Linked DNA regions of Alligator mississippiensis. The protein of the gene in region 3 binds, or shares a complex with, the protein of the main gene of each other region. Links are inferred from orthologs where the notes say so. Each region holds a gene or a part of one and is shown on either strand. Other genes may lie near its edges.

Evidence for each region. Proteins that work in one complex are often made in the same cells at the same time.
Region 1: the proteins of YWHAZ (region 3) and STK11 are in contact, whole or in part, in a crystal structure (PDB 5WXN), measured with the Homo sapiens proteins. The link is inferred for Alligator mississippiensis from reciprocal best matches to the Homo sapiens genes YWHAZ and STK11. Residues at the interface, in NP_001129171.1 of Homo sapiens: Asn42, Ser45, Val46, Lys49, Asn50, Arg56, Arg60, Phe117, Lys120, Arg127, Tyr128, His164, Pro165, Ile166, Gly169, Leu172, Asn173, Val176, Tyr179, Glu180, Asp213, Ile217, Leu220, Asn224, Leu227, Trp228; in NP_000446.1 of Homo sapiens: Trp332, Arg333, Ser334, Met335, Thr336, Val337, Val338, Pro339, Tyr340, Leu341.
Region 2: the proteins of YWHAZ (region 3) and STK26 are in contact, whole or in part, in a crystal structure (PDB 5XY9), measured with the Homo sapiens proteins. The link is inferred for Alligator mississippiensis from reciprocal best matches to the Homo sapiens genes YWHAZ and STK26. Residues at the interface, in NP_001129171.1 of Homo sapiens: Lys49, Asn50, Gly53, Ala54, Arg56, Arg60, Lys120, Arg127, Tyr128, Leu172, Asn173, Val176, Tyr179, Glu180, Asp213, Leu216, Ile217, Leu220, Asp223, Asn224, Leu227, Trp228; in NP_057626.2 of Homo sapiens: Arg316, Glu317, Asn318, Asn319, Thr320, His321, Pro322, Glu323, Trp324, Ser325.

Annotation. Positions count from the first base shown.
Region 1 is NC_081839.1:2,851,525-2,858,650, reverse strand, and holds the start of STK11 (serine/threonine-protein kinase STK11), read left to right. Parts: upstream 1-4,014; 5' UTR 4,015-4,031; exon of another isoform or gene 4,032-4,094; intron 4,095-4,345; 5' UTR 4,346-5,061; coding exon 5,062-5,351; intron 5,352-7,126. UniProt on the Homo sapiens protein: Tumor suppressor serine/threonine-protein kinase that controls the activity of AMP-activated protein kinase (AMPK) family members, thereby playing a role in various processes such as cell metabolism, cell polarity, apoptosis and DNA damage response.
Region 2 is NC_081831.1:81,457,185-81,464,718, reverse strand, and holds the start of STK26 (serine/threonine-protein kinase 26), read left to right. Parts: upstream 1-4,422; 5' UTR 4,423-4,437; coding exon 4,438-4,440; exon of another isoform or gene 4,441-4,986; coding exon 4,987-5,076; exon of another isoform or gene 5,077-6,056; intron 6,057-7,453; exon of another isoform or gene 7,454-7,534. UniProt on the Homo sapiens protein: Serine/threonine-protein kinase that acts as a mediator of cell growth. Modulates apoptosis. In association with STK24 negatively regulates Golgi reorientation in polarized cell migration upon RHO activation.
Region 3 is NC_081826.1:38,283,387-38,290,505, forward strand, and holds the start of YWHAZ (14-3-3 protein zeta/delta), read left to right. Parts: upstream 1-3,965; 5' UTR 3,966-4,076; intron 4,077-5,927; 5' UTR 5,928-5,937; coding exon 5,938-6,231; intron 6,232-7,119.

The DNA.
Region 1 (7,126 bases), on a different chromosome or scaffold from region 3:
CTGATGTTCCTCTTGTAACAGCAGCTGATCAATATAAATGAGATGCAGATAATGGCTTGGAATTTCCTCAAGCAGACAGCAGTAACTTTAGGCCAGTATTGAAAGGGGACAGGCTGAGCTGGAAGCTGGAGGTGCAATTCTCTCTATCCTAGTACCAGCCTCTTTGAGCTGTGCTATATCCCTCCATGGGTCTTCTGATTCTTAAGCAACTTCCAGCTCTCAGTAACAGTCTCTAAGCCAGAGTTAATCATTGCAGAGGAAATGAAGTAGAGATAAGATTTAAGAAAATGCGCTGTTTTCTCCATATATTAAGTATTTGTATTAGGATTCCCTATTATTATCTGCACTCTGCTAATTAGCCTAAGAACCAGTCCTAGATCAAAGTAAACAGATAGCTGAAAAAGAGCCCCAAAGAGCTCACGGTGTAAGATACTTCATTATGTTTTAAATGGTTACCTCCTTCAAAATAGTATCGCTTGTACAGAACCAGGTACCATGGAGTCCTGAGCCCAGCAGAAGTGTTTAGCACAGTGGGGAGCTGGGGGAAAGGTGGATGTGTGGAGCAAAGGAGGGAGAGAAGGAAAGGAGGGCAGGAACTGGTGAAAAGCAGAAAGGAGGCAATAGGTCAAGAGCTGGAAAGGAGAGGAGGGAAAGCACGTCCTGCTCATGCAAGTGGCTGTAACCGGACCCCAGGGCACATCGCTGAGGTTTTACACGAGTTAAATTTAGTACCAAACGCCCTGATCAGCAGAACAGGTTCCCGGAGGGGATGCAGTTGGACTCAAGGGAGGTTGCATCATGCTTAAAACAGGCAGAGCCAAGTGGCTAGCCATGCTGACTGGGGGCGCGGCAGGGGAGCAGTCTTTTCACTGGCTCTTCTCTCCCAGGCTGGACCCAGCCCCCAAGAGCGAGATAGCAGCTTCCCTGCTAGCAGATGGTCAAAAGATCTACTGGGAGGAAGAGAAATAGGCCAGGTGACACCCACGCGGTCTGACTGGTGCTGATCAGGGGAACTGCCATGCTGGACATGCTGTATGATCTGTGTCACTGGGCCCAATGGGGGCTGATGCCAAATGCTGCTGAGCACAAACGTAACACATCTAAAAGAAGAGGGACTTTCTCTGAGGGTCACGCAGTCAAGTGCCACAGCTCGAGTCCAAAGCAGGGTTGGGTGTGGCATAGGGTGGGGACCAGAGTAGCCAACTGGGGTGCTGGAAGGGAAGATCAGAGCCTTCTTTGCCAGGAAGGAGGGGTAAAGGTTTGGTAAAAGGAAAGGGTTAGAATGCTTGTCACAGGGGGGGAAGGGATGCAACTTGTCTTTTTCCCCCCCAAATTCTATACCTGCCAGGTCAGACACTTGCCAGAGTGACTTGGCAGCCAAACAAAGTACAGACTTCCACAATGAGACATGGGGTGAGCCAAGATCTGGGGTCTGGGTGGAGTCTGCCCATGGCACCAGACAATTCCCAGCTCCACCCTTCTCTGCACCCACTTGTTCCCTCCCTCCTTCCCCCCCACAAAAGCATCTCACTGCAAAATGCCTTTCCCTCATTCAGGAGCTCCAGGGTGATCTCACCCTGCTCCTGGACAACTGGCTAGGGATACTGTTGGAATAACACAATATGATCCAAGGGGCTGAACACTACTGCCCCTGCCCTCCACCACCAGCACAGGAAGAGCGAACACCAACACTCTCTCTTGGCAGTGCACCATACAATCTGCCGGCTGCTGAGCCAGGACAGAGTGAACACTCTGAACAGCCTGGTTCACTGCTCTGCCTGTGGGCTGGTTTCCCACCTACAGGTCCAGACTCGTCTATTAGTGACATCTGCATATGTAAGGGGAAAAAAGCAGCGCAGGGGGTGGGGAAATGGTAGCTATCCAGTTTACCTTATGAACTCTGAAGCCCTGTAGACCTGGTTCCACTATGAACGAGCTAATACCAAAGGAATTGTATGATTTCAACTGAGATCCTCTTGACTCTCAGCAACAAGGCAACAGGAGAATCATGCCTTTACACCTGACCCAAGTAAGGCTCTTCTTGCGCAGAAATAGCATAAGGGCATGAGGATTTCAGCACAGGCCTGAGGGTACAAACAGTGACTCTGCCAGTGAAATACAAGCCAGCTGGCAATCCCATTTAAACATCATAAACTGATGTCATGCTGGTCCCAAAGGTATTTTAGGTTCCTTCTAGGACTGCATTTAAAAATAAGACAGTGCCCCACATGTGTGGAACCACACTCAGCAAGACTCCAGGAGCCAAAGCTCTGAGAAAAGAACCAAATTCAGCACAACACTTAAGCTAAAAAAAACCCAAAGTAGCAATAATAGCCTGTATCCTGCACAGAAGCAACACTGCCTGATGGGACCTGTTCCCCACGTACCAAATGGCTGACAACCAGCATGTGCAGTATTTGAATAGGGATTAAGATACTGTCATCAGGCTTCTGCCACGTGACTTTCTTGTCCTTAAGCAAGTGCTTTTTGCAGCCTACATAAAATGTCTTTACCCTTCTCCTTGGAAGTATAGATTCTTATACCAGCACCCTCATCACATAGCATCTGAGCAACTTGTTGTGCAGGAAGGGACAGGACTCATCTGTCATATGAAACGCCCAGGAGCTTGTTGAGGGGGTTTTATTAGATGTTTGTAATTGCTCTGCATTCCTATTAAAAGAAGGTAGATCAAAAATTGCACCTTTTACATCCAAGTGGATTGGGACGGTCCTTGTTTTTTTCTCAGGGAATTTGCTCCACGGTCCCTAAGCAGCCCCTGAGAAAGCTCTGTCTCCAGACATGTTTTATCCTTGCAGCAGAAAGATCCATTATGCTGGAGAAAGAGGACCGTTGACTCGTCTCCATCCTGGAGTTTCTAGGAAATATCAAGACTTGCTGCGCTTAGGCCGCTGAAAACCCCGAAGGCGGCTCGGTACTTGTGAAGGAAGCCAGTGCAGAAAGCAGAAGGGAGCACGAGCGTGACGATCTCCCCGTAGTCCAGATGCTCTACGGTGTGCTGGACTAGCTGGCACTTCCTGAAGGCAGATGTCTTCCTGCCCAGGTCAAGTGCACAGCTGTCGTCCAGATGGGAGCGTGCAAGTGACCAACGTCTGCCTAACCCAGGCCCGGTCATCAGAAAGCAGGACTTGCAGAGAAAGTCTCGCCCGCACCAAGAGCTCTCCAAGGCCGTGAGCTGAGCGGCCCCACGGCAGGCAGGTGCTTTCCGCCGCCGGCGGCTGCGCTGGATCAAACCTGCCTCCGGAAGCGCTTCCCCCTGCCTGGTAGAGGATCGTAGCCTGGCTACGATCAAGATGGAGGGGTGGGGGCTTCTTGCCCAGGAAGACGCCCCCACCTCCACCCCCGGGCTGGGGGCAGACGGGCAAGGAGCAACCCCAGCCTGAGGTGAGGCTAAAGTTGGTTGCTTATGCCCAGTTCCTTTTCCAAAACTAATCTAGACCCAATAAAAGCTTGCTATTAAGTAATTACACATCCTAAACAATGAGCAGTTCATTAGCTATGCATATTTTACATATTGATGTGTAAAATAATATTCTGCCTCCGGTCCCTGAGGTGGCCCAGCCTAGGCCAGAGGCCTGGGGCTAGGTAAAGTGCGTATGCCTGTACTGAGGAGGTCTTCCTGGACAAAAAGCCCCCTCCCCTTTAGGACACCTGCTCCTAAGGACCCCCTATGTCTACCTCGCTCAGCTAACCCCACATCCCCCTCCCCCTTGCCCTTTAACCCCTGCCCTTTGCCCCCTCACCCCCCACTCCACTCCACTCCAGTCTCCTCAGCGCAAGCCCCACCCCCGCACCAAGCTCCCACCCCCACCCGCCGCCGCCGGAGAGGGGCGGGCTCTAAATACAACCCGCCAATGGGCAGCGGGCAATCCGACTCGCCCGCCCTTACCATCCGCCGGCGGGCCAATCCGCGAGGGCGGGGACGCCGCGGCGGCCAATGGAAGCGCACGTCGGTCGCTAGGGAGGCGTGAGGCCCTGGAGAGGGGAGGGCGGCGGGTGCCGGGGGGAGGGAGGTAAACAAAATGGCGGCGGCGTGCTAGCGGCAGCGGGGGCGAGGCGGCGCGGGGCGCTCCGAAGTGAGGAGGGGGCGGGAAGCGCGGAGCCCCCCCTGGCAGGGCGTGGGGGCGAAGCGAGACCCCTCCCCGGGGCGGGGCAGGGCAGTGGGGTGGGGGTCTCCTGTGCTGGCCTTGCTGGGGGGGGGGGCAAGGGGTCAGCTTCGGGTGAGGGGCGGCCCCTCAGCAGCTTGGGAGGGGGGGCTGCCTCATGAGGGGTCATGACCCTCATTTCGGGGTCGGGGCGCGGTGTGAGCCGGTTCCGTGTCTCCCAGGTCAGCGAGCTCTGGAGCCGCGGCGGCGACGCATCATGTGTCAGGCGGCATCGGAGCGGCTGAAGGATGCCCCCGGGAGCTCTCGGTAGGCCCGGGAGGCCTGCAGCATTCGCCAGGAGGGACCGCGAGGCGGCGAGGATCGGTCTCGAAAACGCCTTCGAGGAAACCTGGTTCCAGCTGCCCAACGGCTGAGGGGCGCCGCCGGGCCGGCGGGCGAGCGGAAACCAGCCCCGCGGGGGCCATGACCCGCCGGTAATGGAAAGTCACGAAAGAGACTCGTTCGTCTTCTCGTGGGTTTGACGTCTGGGATCCCAGAGGATGACCTAGCACTTAAGCATCAAAACTGGGCCAAATCGAAGGCCAAGAGTTGACCTGATTGAGCCCGAGTAGCGGGACCGGGTCAAAAGGTGAAATCAATAAATCCCGAACTGAAAAATTCAGACATTGGGAAAAAAATAAATAAAACAGCAAGAAAGAGAGCGCGTTGTTGGGGCCAGACTCTGGATCTTATCGGACCCTGTCGAGCTTACGAGCAGCTGATGGTTCTTTTTTTTGTTCGTTGGTTTTTGGGTTTTGGTTTGTTTTTTTTTTAATTAATGTTCGTACAATCTTATGGATAATTTTTTTCGAGGAGTCAAAGGGAGTGTCGGGAGCTAAAAAGAACTGGATTAAAATCTTAAGGGCTGAGGCAAGTGGGTTACAGAACTGAATCCAGGATGGATATGCAAGAGCCCCAACAGCTGAGTATGTTTGCAGACAGTGAGCTGATGTCTGTGGGGATGGACACTTTTATCCATCGCATCGACTCCACCGAGGTCATTTACCAGCCGCGGCGCAAAAGGGCCAAGCTTATTGGCAAATACCTGATGGGGGACTTACTCGGAGAAGGGTCTTACGGCAAAGTCAAGGAGATGTTGGACTCTGAAACCCTCTGTAGAAGGGCTGTCAAAATCCTGAAGAAGAAGAAGCTACGCAGGATCCCTAATGGGGAGGCAAATGTTAAAAAGTGAGTATGGGTTCCTGCGGCTAGTTGCAACAGGGTTAAATCCGGTCAGTGTTTTCTGGCTGAGAGTCCGTATTGTTTTATTCAACACCGCATGTAGCCATATGTTTTGAAAGGACTTTACAAGCCACATACATGCAGGAATTGCTTCACCTCTGAAATGCAGCCAATTCTGAGTTGGAGGGTAACTCTCTTAAATACTGCTGAACAGGGGGGGTACAGGAAAAGGAAACCTTTTATTCCCAAGGACATGGGGAGCAAATATATCCACTTCTACAAGCAGCACAATGTTCTGGGCCGTCAGGCATTGCTGCGAAGCAGGGAGAACCCCTCTTTCTGCAATTTCATCCAAGAGGCACACAGTAAACAGTGTTGTGCTTAGTTGCCCTAACAAGGCAGGGTGAAAGGTTGCCTGCTGCAGAGGAAGAATAAACTTTGCATTGCTGCTGTGTGCATGCGATACTTCATGGGCCTCTGCTGGGAAGTCTTGCGTTCCAGGCAGTTATTCCATGGGTGGCAGCGTGAGCCAGTGCGTTGGGAGACTTGGGCTCTATTCCTAGTTATGCTATTGACCAGCCTGACCTTGGGAAGTCCCTTAATCTGCCTTGGTCAATTTTTTTTTTTAGCTGTGAAGTGGAGGTAATGATGCTTCTCTCTTGGGGAAGTGAATTTGTGGTTGAAGAGTGCTTTGAGTGCTAAGTCATGTATTGGTAAACAAGTTCCGCATCCAGATAACTCCCAATTCAAACGCCTTATTGGGATAAACTGGTTCTGTGCTTCAGTCAGAAGTACAGTTCATTTTTGACATTCCCTTTCCTTGATGTTACATGTGCAGGGGCTCTACAGGCAACTGCATTTGCCACAGCAAGCGGCCACAGCAAGCCATGTGAGATTGGGTTGTTTGTCTGATGCGAAGGGGACACTTCTGCTGCCAAAACAAATAGTTTTCTGCAGCTTATCTCGTGGCAGGAGGAAAACTTGGGAGATGTTTCCAAGTCTCCTGTGACGTTTCTGGAGTTGCCTCTTTGCCTGCGGCATGCTGAGTGCAGAGCCCTGACCTCGTGGGCTCTTGTTTCTGTTTTTCTGTTTTGGTTTGGGTTGTTGAGGTCAGCTGGCCAGTGCTTTGCATCCTGTGCTGGGGCCTTCCATTGGTTAGCTTTTCAAGTTTACCTTCTAACCTTGAGAGTGCAGGATGGACGGGCTTTGCTCCAGTGTTACGACAAAATCACGACAGGGCATCTCGTCTCTCTAGTGCTGGCTCTGATTTTTATAAAAGTAAACTGCTGGTTAATGTGTAATAAAACATTTTTTTTTTCTTCTTCTGGTAGAGGCACATGTGTCACTTTGTTCCCTTCTCTTTCTTTCTCTGGTCTCCAGTGACACCCAGGGCTTCCCCCAAAAAAGGGAAAGCTGCTTTCCCCTGAATTGTTCCCCTAAAAGCCCACCCCCTCCCAGTGAAACAGAATTCTTGGAATTAACCTGTCAGCTTTGTGATGCAGAAAGCATGAAGTGGTCCTGTGTCCTGAAATAAACTACGTAGAAATATCATCTGTATCCTCTTAATTTTACTGTCCTTAGCCATTCTGTGGATGTGTCTCACCTCATTTAGTTACCACAGCAGTTGAACCAGAAGATATTTAATTTCTGTGATCACTCTGGGTTGCTTATTCAGCAGTACCTGACTATTAGAGTTCTTTGGATCTGTGGCTGTAGTATTTGAAGCAGGCTTTTTCTTTAGCCTTCTAGCAGTGGTCTATTTTAGCACAGGTTCAGAATTA
Region 2 (7,534 bases), on a different chromosome or scaffold from region 3:
GGATTGCCCTCGACAGGGGTGAAGGTGAGATCCCGTCCATGTTCAGTGCCAAATCAGCAGTGTGAACTTTTCCCTGTTGCACACGGAGCGAGGCAGGGGTGACTGGTGTGACTCCAGGTGTGGTCAATCTTATCTTGGAATAAGAGTGGCATTTCCTGGTGTAATTTGCATCACTTGGAAAGGGGACTTCCACCCACACAGCTGTGGAGGTAGGAGTCATCCCAGCATTGCTGGGCCTTGGGCATGGCCAGTGGGGCAGTGACAATGGCGAGGTGGTTCTGACCAAGCCCACGTTGGCGGAGAGACACAGTGTGAACAGAAAAGAGTGACAAGAGGTGACAATGCTCTGCTGGGCCCATTTGTGCTGCAGGCAAATGACTCCTTGGCTACACTGCTTGTGCCATAAATAAAGCAACAATTGCATATTGTGATGCAAATTGCTTGGTGGTAAAGCCCTGCTGCCATCAAGTCTGTGTGTGAAAGCACATGTGGAACTGGTGTCTTTCTGGACTCTGGTTACGTGCTCCTCCAGAGGAATGCCAAGCCTACCCACGCTGCCTTATTGGAAAGAATTAAAGCAAAGACCTAAAGCAAAGGGGCATGCCACATCTGGCCTGTCTTTGCGGGGGGTTTCTTTTTCGGTGTAGTTTTCTAGCTGCCAGATTCCTTAGGTGAATTGCAAAGAGTTTTTCAGAGACCTTCAGAGCCTAAATAGCCACTGGACCTTTCTAAAATGAGCCACAAACACCCTCTCGAAAGCCACGACAGTGCTACAGTGTCACCCCCCTCGTGTGCATTGTCAGGGGCATCTATGTGGATCAAATAATATATAGGGTGGCTGGAGAGAGAGAAGACAGGCAGGGTCTGCAGCATGGCAGGGCTCTGTGTGCTCTGTCATGGAATAATTATTACAGGGCCTTGTCTTTTTTTCGCCAGCCTCCCAAGAAGCTGTTGTACTCCTGGAGCACACACGTCGGCTCTGTCCAGGTCATCAGCTGTGTTACCTGATGCACCCACCGGTCTCTGCACTGCAGTCGCAGCTGGGCGGGCGGGCCCGGAGGAGAGGGGTTTTCTGAAGAAACAGAACGTAATGCTCCCGAAAGACAGTGAGTCCTTCCCTCCTACAGCTGCCCTGTGCGTTTTTCCTTGTGAGCAATAAAGACAATCCTGGTGCATAACTGCAGTGTGTGAAATAGGGTTAGTCACAGGACTTCCGGGCACAGCGGCACGTAAACAAGCTTTCCCCACTTCCCTCTTATGAAAGTTTAAGTCTGCTCCACTGCTCCGGCTTCTTTTCTTCTCTTTCTCTACCAGCCCCCTGACTCCCATTTATGTCTGATTCAGCCTAGCAAACATTTTACCCTGTGGCAATCTTTTCTAATGGAGCAGGAAGAGCAGCCTCTGGAGCGCACTCCTGACACATCCCTTGGGTTTTCTTTCTGGCTCTCTGGTTTGCTGCTCTTGCTCCTCATTCACATTAAGAAAGAAGAAACCAATGGCCCATGCAATCAGCAGCTCATTATCAGTGAATGGGGATGGGGCTTTGTGAGACTTCCTCTTTTTCTTTATTTCCCTTTCTCACTCATACATGCCACGAGGTTTAATCTTTGCAATGGCAGTTTCCTGGACTGTGTGTACACAGCTCCTCGCTGGCCTGCCTCGGCAGGGAATTGTGGACGTGCCTCCCTCACTGTGACACACATTTTAATGACTGATCTATTAACCTGCCCAGCAGCTAAGGAAGTACGAGCGCTCGTCCAGACGCAGGTGCATCGAGCTTTGCATATTTTATAGACGCGGGCTTCTAGACCACAGGTCGTGCTGTTGCTTTCCCCACTGAACCTCGGCGTTCTGGCCTTCCACGCCTGGCTCCTTCTCGGAGCTCAGGAATCAAAAGAATGCACGCAGCCGTTGGACAGGCCAGCGAGAGATGCTGAAGCAAAGCCAGGAGAGAAGGGTGCTACCAAGCGATTTGGTTTTCAGTGCACATCTTCATCAGCGGAAAAAAAAATGACATAAAATAATGGATACCCAACCCGTCAGGCCCAGTGGACCCCTGTAGACTTTACTGGACCCTCCATGCAGCTCTCTTTGCAAAGGTGTTGTATTGCATTCACCCAAAGGAGCTGGGGCTCCTCCAGCCGGATTCCACTGGCCCAGGAGATGCCTTCTCTGCCTGCTTTGCTCACATGGGCCCCAAGGACCGTCCATGGGGCAGCTCCTTGTCCCATGCAGGGCTCCAGCGACAGCAATAGATGGCCATGGATCTGCAGGGGTCTGCACACAAAGGCCCTAGCCTAGCAGACCCTTCCCTCTGCAGACAGCCTGCAGTGGTTTTGTGTTCCTGCCCTGAAGATGCATTGCCTGGCTTCTCACCGCAGTCAGGAAGCCCTTTGGTTGTATTACTTGCAGGCTCAGTGCCTAGCAGCTGGTTTATGAGGCTCCTTTCATCTCTTATTTTTAAAAGAAAGACAATAGGAACTTCTGGGCTGCCTGTTTCCCCTGTTGTGTTATGAAGTTAGCAAATTTCTCCTCCTCCTCTTGGGAATCGCTTCATCTCTCCTTCCCCACTCCAGTTCCTTGCTGTCCCTGAAGCGTTGGCTGCAGCCGTGTTGGTCTAAGGACACAGGCAGACAAGGTTCTTTGGGTAGATGTGATATCTTTTATAGACCAACTAAGTAGTTGGAAAAATTGTTCTTTGCAAGCTTTTGGGTTCAAACACCCTTCTTCAGGCAGAGGGAGAGTCTCTGAGGCACCTTGAGGGGCTCTGGTTTTCCCCTGCTCTGCTTCCCTCCCCTTGGAGGCCAGGTGTCATAGCCAAAATCTGCTTATCGGCTGCTTTCCTTTCCATCAGTCTAGTCAAAGAGAGACTAGTGCTAAACCTGTGCTAAACCTGCGCTAAACCTGTGCCTCTCACAGTACAGTGGCTTCAGGACATTTTTCCTATGAGCTGTGCTCTATTTGCCCCTTGTGCACAAGCTCCTTGTTAACAACCGAGTAAACTTCTTTTTAACAGCCATCTCTTTCCCCTTGGAAGCTCTCAATGAGGGGCCTGTTTTTGCTAATCACTGCTGGGAGGAAGATCAGTCACACCTAAGACAAAAATGGTTCTGTTCCCTCTCTCAGGAATGCCCTGGGTTTCCTTCTTTAAGGGGTCTTGGGTAACAGCCCACCCTGTGAAAATGTTTGCAGGGTTTTAAAAGCCCAGGGCTCCAGGTTAGTCACCTGGAACGTAGAAAGCCAGTCCCCTGTTGAGCACAGAACAAGTCCCTTTAGTGAAACGAACATAAAGCTAGAAACACTCTTGTCAGTGAGTTGAAGAGGTCAGTTGTTAGTTCGTGACTAAATACACAGAAGAGAACAGGTCTGATGAGGAAGAAGACATCCATCCTTAAGCGACTGGGGTTTTTTCAGAGTGGAAAAGCATACTTCAGTCTGTTTTGCCAGCAGGCTCCCCTCCTTATCATCACCTGCTGGGTGCGGAAACAATTCTTTTGTTTTCCCCACTGATCTCCCAAAAAATGTTGAGTCCTGTAGGGTTGTTGGTTGCAGCCGTGTTGATCTAAGGACGCAGGCAGACAAGGGTCTTTGGGTAGATGTGATATCTTTTATTAGACCAACTAAATAACGAGGAAAATGTGTTCTTTGCAAGAAGGGTGTTTGTGCCCAAAAGCTTGCAAGGTGCTCCCAGGGGTGTAGGTTGTAGCCGTGTTGGTCTAAGGACACAGGTAGACAAGGATCTTCGGGTAAATCTGATATCTTTTATTAGATCAACTCAAAAAAAGCGCAAAGCGTTCCTATGCACTTAAGTAATCATGGGCTTGATAGGCAGATGAGTGATGTTTGTTGCAGTATAAGTGCTAGGCAACAGATCAGGACCAGTCTCCTGTTATGCAGTTGAGAGGAGGAGGATGTGTTTATCTGATAGGCATGTAAAAGGATTATATTGTATGCAGGAGTCTCCTCATCTCTTTATGGCCTGTGTGGGGTCACTGAAGAGGTAACAGATTTCTCAGCCATGTTCTCCCGGTTGAAATCTCATGTCCCTCCTTTAAGGAACCGTTGCCTTCCTGAGCAGTGCCGTCCACGCTCCGCCAGCACAGAAACGGCTTTCTCAGCCTGTTTTCAACAGGTAGGGATAGCCCGGATTTGCCAGGCAGCCCTTGGAGTTCTGCCCATACTTTTTGTGAGCGCCGTTGCCATGATACAGAACGTAGAGCAGATGTTTATTTCAACAGAGATGTCTTTAATTCCTTCTCAACGTTTTTCTCAGGCTGCCATCGTGTGCGAATACTTCTCTGTAGGAGCCAACTGCAGCCCGGGCCCAAGAGCAGAGCCTGATTCAGAAGGAAACGGAGGGTTGGAGGTGTGTAGAGGAGAGGTCAAGACAGACAGCCAAGCCTGCTGGAAGTTTCTGAGCGCCCACGTTTGGTAGGGATGGTAAGGAGCTGAGGGAGCCTCGACCAAAATGTTTTCTGGAAAACTAGCGGCATTATAGCGGTTAATGAAAAGCAATCCCCCTTCCACTCTACTTGGGCTTCAATTTTTTTTTTCTTCCCTTCCTTCCCCCCTCCTATACCTTTCTTTCCTTAACGCAAATAATCCAGCCCTTTTCTGTGTGGTCCATTACCTGGAAGTAACCCTGTGTAACAGGCTGTGATAGGCCAGAAATGCCTTAATTGTACTGACAGCAATAGAGACAGGATGCTAAAAATGTAGGGGTAGGCGTTGCACTTTCCTCCGCCCTTCGTGGGGTACTTACTCCTGTCAGGGACTGTCAAGAGCTCTCATTCCTAGGTGCATGGTTTCCCTTTGTCTTTGTTCCCTTTCTTTTCTCTCCTTAGTGCTCCTAGTTTTCTCCCTGCTTTCTTCTTCCTTCTCTTCTCTCATTTTTCATCTCTATTTTTAACTGCTGCTGCCTCCCTCCGGGCTCATCTGCCCTTTTTTCCCCTCTAGGCTCTTATCTGCCTTGTCTTCTTCCTGCAGGAGTGGATCAGCGTTCCTACCCGCTGGATCGCAGGCAGACAACCATCTCTCGGAGAAAAGCACTGTTACACTGCTGCTCTGCTTCTGCATGTGGGTATGGGTTGGTATGTGGGAGAAATCCCACTTGGAAGTGGTGCCTTCCTGGAATGGGTGCTTTTTTAGCATAGGAATTCTGCTTCGAGCCAGCTTCCTGTTGCTGCTGCCTTATATAGAAATGTTTTATCATTCTATAAATACAGTATGTGTTTTATTAAAAAAGAAGACAGAAATGGATATGCAGGAACAAAATGCTGGAGGAATAACGGTGAGTGGCAGGGCCTCTCGCAGACTTCCTCCACCCCTTCCACTGCTGTGGTCAAGCTATTTTTGTATTCCACGAAAGAGCGCTCTGCTGAAACTTCAGGTTCCTTCTTAAAAGGAAATTGGAAGAGGGGAAGGGTCTGTTTTAAAACTAGAAAATAAAGTTGTAAGCAGGAATGAGACTATAACAATTTTAAGCTGAGAACCTCAAATCTCTAGATTTCCCATCTCTAAATTCCCATTGGATTGCATAGTACAGGTTTGGGCCTAAATTAACTAAGATTCCCAGTGAAGGATATCCTGTAAATACTGCCTTCAGTTTACAGCTGGGCATGCAATAGCTCAGAAAGGATAAGTGAATTGGCCAAGGCCATACAACAAATTAGTGGGAGAGCCAGGCACAGAAACCTGGAGCCCTGGCTTCCAATACTGTGTGTAACATCCTGTGTGCACAACCACTGCAGAAGGGAACTTAATGCAAAAAAGAAGAAAAAGACTTCTTGCGAAAAAAAAAAAAGGCCCTTGTTAATTTGGTAGCTCTTTTATTAAACCTCTACTGCATGTCACAAAAATGTTGGGATCTATCAGCTATGTTGTTAATGTAGTTTGGCACGGATTATACCGTGGACATGGGTGTCAGGAAAGGGCAATTCTGCATGCCTATGCTGAGAAACCCCATTTTGTTGTTGTGGCGCAACCTATCCATTTGTTTCCTGAAGTTTGAAGCTGAATCCTTGATGTCCTGCACTATTTGTTTGATTCGAGTTAAACTGCAATTCAAAGAAAGACGTTAGTGCATATCTACAACCAGCCTACTGAAATCATCTAGCATTAATTAAGCTTTTGTTAATGTGCTGTACCCAGAGTGGGTGTGTATTGTTGTTCCAGTCACACTCAGAGCATTCCCTCCCTACCAAGGCTGTTCAGAACATGAGACACAGATATTAATAAGATGCCTTTGGGCAGTGGCTTTATCTAGTTTCTGACCTTTTTGTAATGAATTTAATCTACAGAAGATTAGCTTAAGACAGATACTGTATTAAAATACATAATTCATGGCAGTACGGATACTCTTGTGATGAAGGTGAATAGTACTGGGTAAGTATACCATTGAACTTCTGGTCTGGTAATTCTCTTTGTCACAGGTTTAGTCACCGTACTGAATCACCCCAGTCTTTTCCCTCTCCACCTTCTTTATCTGTAATATAGCATGCCTGAATAAGGTCAATACACAGCTTTTTTCCTGCTAAAAAGACAGTCGTTTGTGACAAAGAAAACCTCTCAGGAAAAGAAAACTGAGAATTTGGCACAAGCTTATTTGCTGGAGCGGGTATAAATGCCTGTTTGTTTTATTATAGGCAGAGCTACCTAAAGCAACTTGACATCTCTTGTTTTAAACCCTGTTTTCAGTTGCCTATATCTTTGCCAAATTTGAAGCATTTGGGTTGAAATTATCCATTGTGGGTATCTGCCTCGAGCTGATATATATTTTTTATTTATTTAAGTTTCAGCTAAAATGGCTCAGCTGTTGCTCAGAGCGAGGCTGGGAGAAAAAAAAAAGAAGTTGTATTGCAATTGTTAGAAAACCACATCTTTTATAGGCATTCTATTGAGAAACTCTTACCCTTCACCTTCCCCTCCCTGGCTATGGTTTGGAGCAGGGATGTGAAATTTAGGAGACATCTCCCTGGTGTCAGAAGCATGCCTTTTGCTGTCTTTATGAAACCTGCCCTGATTAGCACCAACCAGACCTTGGAAAATCATAGCTCGCCCATGCTCAATTGAGTCTTGTTGGAGTTCCTAAATTCTGTCTGCAGTGATCATGCCTCACAGATGAAATGAGCATGCTCAAGAGCTGCAGGGGCTGAGCAGGATTTTCCTTTGATTGTTCTTCATGGGGCTGCTGTAGCATGGGGCACCCGGGCTGAGAACAGGGAGACCGTCTCTGCTGAACTCTCGGGAGTTTTGCAGCCTGTTCGCAAAGAGCTACTCGTAAGCAAGGGTAATTGGTCATAGGATCATGAGTTGTCACATCAGGTAGAACCAGGAGCACGTTTAGGTTTGTTATTTTGTCTTCTACATTAAGCAGAATTAAATGCTTTAAAAGATGTAAGAAACATTTCAAGTATGGAACAACTTGTCTCCAGGAAAAAAAATGCTTCCTTACCTCCATTAGTTGGAAGCCAATTGATGCCCCGAAGCAGGCAGGATTGTATCCCTCCCAAAATATTTTCATCCTTCCTGTTCT
Region 3 (7,119 bases):
AGTTGATTCACAAAGCTCACATGGCATGCACCAGATCAGCCCTGCACCACACAGGGTGCCAGTTCTACCTGGCCTGGCACCTGCACTGCATGTGGGCCTGCCTTAGCCAGTCCAGGCCATGCAACATACATGGCACCTGCTCTGGCCAGTCTAGGACATGCACAGTGCCTACCCCAGCCAGCCTGGGACACACACGGCACACAGCACCCACTCCAGCCATTCTGGGACCTGCGCTGTACGTAGCACCCCCTGGCTACTCCAGTGTAGGCACCACAAGCAGCATGAGCCCCAGACTGGCAGGAGTTCAATAAGAACAGGTGCAAACTCCTGCACTTAGGACAGAACAAGTCAATGCACGACTACAGACTGGGGACCAACTGGCTAAGGAGCAGCTCTGCAGAACAGGACCTGGGGGTTACAGTGGACAATAAGCTGAATATGAGCCAACATTGTGCGAAGGAGGCTAACAGCATACTGGCCTGCGTTAGTAAGAGTATTGCCAGCAGATGGAGGGAAGTGATTACAGGCAGTTCTCCGACTTAGGACACAATTGGTTCCTGAAAGCCACAGCTTAAATTGAAACGTTGTAACTTGGAACCAATTTTCTCATAAGAAACAATGTTATAAATGGGGGATTGGTTCCTGAACCAAAGCTCGATACCCTATTTTCACCAAAAATACCCCAGAATTGTGTACTTGATCAACTATAGATGAGTCATATAGCTACATGAATGCATTTATATTGTAAATAGCAATCATATTGATTTGGAAGGACTTCTTTGAGGTGACTTTCCTGGACTTTTTGAAGGGCTCTCGGTTGGACTTTTTGAAGTGCTCTTGGCTGGAGTCTTCTCAGGAGTCTTGGCTCCAGGTTTTTCTGGAGTCTTGTCTGCTTTCTTAAAGAAACTGTCCAAGGCAGTTTGGACAGATGTTCTCCAGGGAGACAGATGACACAGTGAACTTGTTCGCTGGTGTGTCGTCACATCGGATCAAGCATTGTAAAATCAAAACTTACATCAGAAAGTTGAAACATGGTGTCAATTTATAAACGTTGTAAGTGTGAAACATTGTAACTTGCAATGTTGTAAGCCGAGGACTGCCTGTAGTCCACTCTATTTGGCACTGGTGAGGCCACATCTGGAGTACTGTGTCCAGTTGTGGGCCCCTTACTACAGAAAAGATGTGGACAAATTCAAGAGCAGAGGGCAACAAAAACGGTGAGGGGGCTGGGGGACATGGCTTATGAGGAGAGGCTGAGGGAACTGGGCTTATTGAGTCTAGAGAAGAAAGACGGAGGAAGCAACCACAACGAGCGGTGGCAGCAGTGGCAGCCCCAGCATGGGCTCCAGGTCCTGCTTTTCTCACCACTGCTGCTGCCACTGCTCCTCATCATGGCCAGGGTGGGCAGGTCTGGTCTGGAGCAGGTACTGCAGGGAACCTGAACCCTCACACAGGCTGGGGCCGGGGCTGGGGCCAGGGCCAAGACAGTGCACTTGGATCTGGGGCTCAGGCCCTGCCTGTGCTGGCCTCCATGGGGCCAGGGCTGCCAACAGCAGCTGGAAGGAGCCACTGCTGCCGCTGCCAAATCTGCACCCAGCCACTACCACCGAAGCCAGGCATCAGCTCCAGTCACTCCACTGGGCAGAAGGGCAGTGCTGGTGGCAGTAGTAGGGTGACCACCTGCCCCTAATTGGGCAGGACAGTCCCAGAATGGGAACCTCAAGTCCTGGTCCCAGGCTGTCCCAGATTCACAGCATCATGCAGGGATCCACAGGAAATGGCGTATTTCCCTGCAGGCTGGCAGCATTCCAGCCTGCGAGGGGCTGCTTGGGGCTGCTGGGAGCAGGATGCAGGTGGTGCCACATGCATGTGTATGCCCACACACATGGCTGGGAAATACAGCTGGGAAGCATGGAAAGCAGCTCCCTGCAGGTAAGTCAGGGAGGGTTTATGGGGAGGAGAGAAGGTATGGAGGGATGGGGTGTAGATCGAGGCCTCCGTGGTGAGGAAGCGAGTGGGATGGGGCTGGGGGCACTGCCCAGCTAGGGCAGTGCATAGAGTAGGACACAGCCACGGGCAGCTCATCCAGGGGGCACAGGGCATGGGAGGGGGGCAGCTCCCCACTGCTACATGCTGTTCTGGGGGGGGGAGAGCATGGGAGGCACGTGCCTCCCAGATGTGTGTGCAGGGCAGGGGTGGATACAGGCTGCCTGCTGTAAGCTTGTGGCTGCCTGTCCTGCTGTCCTCCCCACAGGGAGACCCCACCGCCATGGCAACACTCCCCCCAGGCAGCAGTGGGGATGGCAGAGGTGTGGAGTTGGATCCCTTGCTGCTGCTGGACAAGCAGGGGGGGTATGGCTGGCATGGGGCTCCTGAGAGGGCAGCAGGGCTGCCCGGAGCCCACAGCACACAACCTGTATCTGCCCCCCTGCTCCATTTTGCTCTGCTCTGGCTCTGCCACCAGCGAGGAGGTGGAGGGGAAGGTGGGAATGTGCCCTGCCTTTGCATTTTAAAAACATGGTCCCTCTAGGTGGTGGGGGTCTAGACACAGAGGCGACAGTCAGTGGTGGCTCCTTCTTGCTGCCATTGCTTCTGGCTCCATGGACACTAGTACAGGCTGAGCCTGAGCCCTGGGCTGAGTGTGCCACCCTGGCCACGGCGTGCCGTGTGTGGGGTTCGGGGTCCCTGCAGCGCTCTCCCTGGACCTGCCCACTCTGGCCCCAATGAACAGCAGTGGCGGCAACCATAAAATGTAAGACCTGGAGCTCGTGCCAGTGGGACCCACTGCCCTGCAGCTCCTCCCCATCACTGCTGCAGCCACCAGCGCCACCTCTGGGCCACGCCAGGCTCCTGCACTCAGTGGGGTGAAGGCGCAGGGCAGCCCTGGCACCTATACCAGCTCCCTGCCCACCTGCAGCCCCATTCCACATAGGGAGGTTTGGGGAGCAATTGTGTGTGTGTGTGGGGGGGGGGGGTGACCCAGCCCACAACAGAGTTTTAGGGAGCTATATGGCCCATGGGCCCAAATATTTGCCTACCCAGGCTAGGCTGTCCTCAGTGATGGCAGATGACAGAACAAGGAGCACCAGAGTCAAGCTGCAGCAAGGGAAGTTTAGGTTAGATATTAGGGAAAATGTCCTTACTAGGAGGGCAGTAAAGCACTGAAGCAGGTTACCCAGACAGCTGGTGAGATCTCCATCCCAGGAGGTTTTTAAGACCCAGGTAGACACCGCATTGGCTGAAATGATCTAGTTGGGAAAGCCCTGATGTGAACAGGGGGTTAAACTACGGTTCACCCTCATTTTCGATGATACCAGTGGGCGCCGTAGGCAGCTCGTGTCACACCAGCCCTGCCCGGGCACCGCATGTGGCACCGTCCCAGACAGGCTGGAGATGGCACCACAGCGGGGCACGTCCGCGGGCTGCATCGGGGCTGGCTACTGCCACGCATCCTGCCCGGGAACAGCACTCACCCAGCCCCGCGGAAAAGCCGGGCTCCCGAACTGGCTGCAAGTGGGGGCTGCGGGCCGCAACCGCACCGCCCCCTGGGGGGCCGCTCCCATCCCAGTGAGCACGGCCCCAACCCCGTGTCGGTGGCCAGGCTGCGGGGCCCTCGGGGAGGGGGGCGCAACGCGGATCCTGGGCAGGCCCCGCACGGGGTGGGGGGGGGGGCGACCCCGCCCTGCCGCAGCCCGGCCGAGCCGCCCCCCGCAGCGCAACGCAGCGCGCACCCTCGCAGCCCGCAGAGGGAGGGAGTGGGCGGGCCGGGACGGAGGTCGCTCGCGGCTGCGCGCGCCGGTGCCGGCGGCAGTTGGTGTGGCCGCTCCCCACCCCCCCCGTGGGGGCGTCGGAGGGGAGCGGGGCGGGGCGGGTACAGGCGCGCGTGCGCACGCGCTCCCTCGCTGTTGCCATGGCCCCGCTTGACGTCACGAGCAGTGCGTTGCGGCGCGGTGATTGGCGGAGCCCCCGTGTGTGGCGCTGGGAGCGAGGCTGCAGCGAGCGAGCCGCGATACAGGCACAGTCCGCGCCGCCGCCCGCCCGCACCGCGCCCGCCCGCCCCCGGCCTCCTGCCGCAGGTAACGGGCCTGCGCCCCCCCCCCCCACCGCTTCCCCTGGGGCGGCCCAGGCGGGGAGCAGCGCCCCCCACCCTCCAGCGGGCGGCTCCCCGGGTCGGGTCCAGTTGCTGAGGCGGGAGCTGCTCCGCGGCGTGGCGGGTGGGGGTTCGCTGCGCTGCGCTGCGGGGACCCGGCGGGTGGGGGCCGGGGCCGGGTGGGGGCAGGTGAGGCGAGGCAGCGCCGCGCCCTTGCCTGGCGAAGGGGGGGCTGTGGCCGGGCGGCCCCGCCCTGCAGCGGTGGGGCCGGGCCGGGGAGCGGCTTCCCGTGGGCCGGGCGGGGCGGAGGTGAGGGGGATGGAGGCGCCGGCAGGCTGAGCTGGGCGCGGCGCGGCGCCGCCATGACAAAGGAGCCGGGCGCGGCGCTTCGCCTCTCGCAACCGGGCGGATGCGGGAAGGGAAGGGCCAGGCCCGGCTCGGCTGCAGGCTCGCCCCCGCGCCGCTGCGGAGAGCGCGGCCAGCACCATTTTATGCCGGCGGGCGGGGCCGTGGCGGGGCGGTGGCAGCCCCCTCCCCCGTCAGAGCCGAGCGCCACGGGCCCTGCCCTGCCCTGCCCTGCCCTGCGCTGCCGCACGGCTCCGGGCGCAGCGGCGGCATCCGCTGCCTCCCTTGCTCCCACCCGCCCCGCGTGAAACCCGGCCCCAAAATGGCTTCTTCCCACCCTTCTCCCTGCGCGGGCAAGGCCGCGGCGCCGCGGGCTCCGCGCACCCGCCTCCGCCCAGCCCCGCAGTCGGGAAAGAGGCTCGTGAGAATCGGTAATACACGAGCCCGAGGGCAGGACTGAAGGGAGTGTGTTGCTCAGGTGGATACGAAGGTCTCGAGGAACCTCCCAGTATATTTTTAGGCTTTAAAAATAAATGAAGGCACTAGTCACTAGGGGTTGATGAAATAGGGTGGGGGGAAGGGGTCAACCTCTGATCTTTCCTGACATGAAAAAGAGTCAGGTTGGCTCCCAAGTGCTGAAAAGCCCCCCTGGGGTGCAGATCCCTAAGGAGACCTGAGGAAGGATGACTTGCTTTTAAAAGCTTGTCCAGCGTTATCCCAGCTGCCTCACTGGTGCAAGAAAAGACAGTCACCCTAAGAAATATTTTATCCCTAGGTTGTCATTTTAGCCAGCAAAAGATGTTTCTGATGTGTTAGGCTGGATTTTAGTGGGGCTGTACAGATAGAGGTAATACTAACTTTGTCCACCAAGCCTTCACTACTGAGGCTGAGGAGCACAACTTGGATGAGAAGCTCATCCCACTGATCCTCTAGGGAAAGAGTTAACATTCCTAAAAGGGCAGGATCCTTAGTGCGAATGAAACCCCTACATTCAAAGTAGTTAACAACCTTTAAAAAAAAAAAACAACCTTTAGAGCTTTATAACATGAGAGTGAAGGCTTTTCCTCCGGCCTTTTTGTTTGGCCCTCTGAGCAGCACAAAATTGCTTTCCCCAGGTCTTTAATCATTGGCATGATGAAATGGACAAACTTCAGCTTTCTCCCAAGCCACATCATGAAGAGAACTAGGACTGATTGAGGGAGAGGAAACGATCAGAATTATGTACAGCACAGAAAAGGTGTGCCTTCAGCATTCGGAAAGTTATCTCTGCAACAATAAAGACTAGAAACATCAATTAATAGTCTGAATTTTTAGAAACAAGCAAATCAAAGTCTTCAAGTCATGACAAAAAACATTGAGAAATCCTAAAAGCTGACAATCGGGAATATTACAACTTAACTACTCTAGAGAAATCTTGCTTTAGATATGAGGCTAAAAATGTCTTTGTCCTTGATAAATGTTTGAATAATGCCTTCCTATTTTTCCTTCTCAGAAAAATCAGCATGGATAAAAATGAGCTGGTGCAGAAGGCCAAACTGGCTGAGCAGGCTGAGAGATATGATGACATGGCAAGCTGCATGAAGTCTGTGACTGAGCAAGGAGCTGAGTTGTCCAATGAGGAGAGGAATCTTCTCTCTGTTGCTTACAAAAATGTTGTAGGAGCCCGTAGGTCATCTTGGAGAGTAGTCTCAAGTATTGAACAAAAAACGGAAGGTGCTGAGAAAAAGCAGCAGATGGCCCGAGAATACAGAGAGAAAATTGAGACTGAGCTAAGGGACATCTGCAATGATGTGCTGGTGAGAACTAACAAAACTGTTAAACTGTTGATTTAATATTGCAGGGTAAATGATATTAACCCCATTAAACTGACATTTAATCTAAACTGAAAATTGAGGCCTGTGATATCAAGTCTTTAATCTTTTTCTATACCAGTTAAAAAAAACAAACTAAGACAAGTGGGTGACTTTTTCCTCTTCCCCTTAATGAATTTGGTAATTAGTTCTCATGGACATCTACTAACATTGTCAAATCTTAAATATAAATAAACTCTGAAAATTCATAGGTTGCTTTATTGTAGGATGTATATTTGTGAATAAGCAAATATGGGTTCATTCACAGATAATGACTGTGTTCATAAAAGCTTTGGGCGTGGTTTCTCCAAGAACCGTGTTGTCCACAACTTAGTTCGTTTCTGGCATCTTAATATACTGTGCTGCTTGTAAGAGGTAATTCACACTATGGAAATTGTGCCCCTCCCTGGTTTAGATGATGTAATGTTAGTTATGACTCAGCCATGCAGAAAATCCTCTGCAGGAGGAGGCAGTGGCAGTACTGCTGATTCCCTCTTGCAGTTAATAGTTCTTTAGTGGTAAACTATAGTAAAGGTAGCCTGAGAGTTAAACTAGTCTTGTGGCTTACAGAACATACTGTGGCTTGTTGAATGATAATTGAAAAATGCTTGGGTTTTAAACTAATTGGGGGATGGGAGGGAGTCAAAGGGGAGGGCGGGACTTTTCAAGTATGCAATAGTACACTCCTACAAGTTCACCGTTTACTGGGTGTTTGTCTTCCTGTTGTGTGCTGAAATAAACTCTGCTGACAGCAACAGCCACTGTAGACCATGGACTTTACTAGTATCATCCCTATTCTTTACAGGACTAGAGCATACCTGACTTACACAAAAG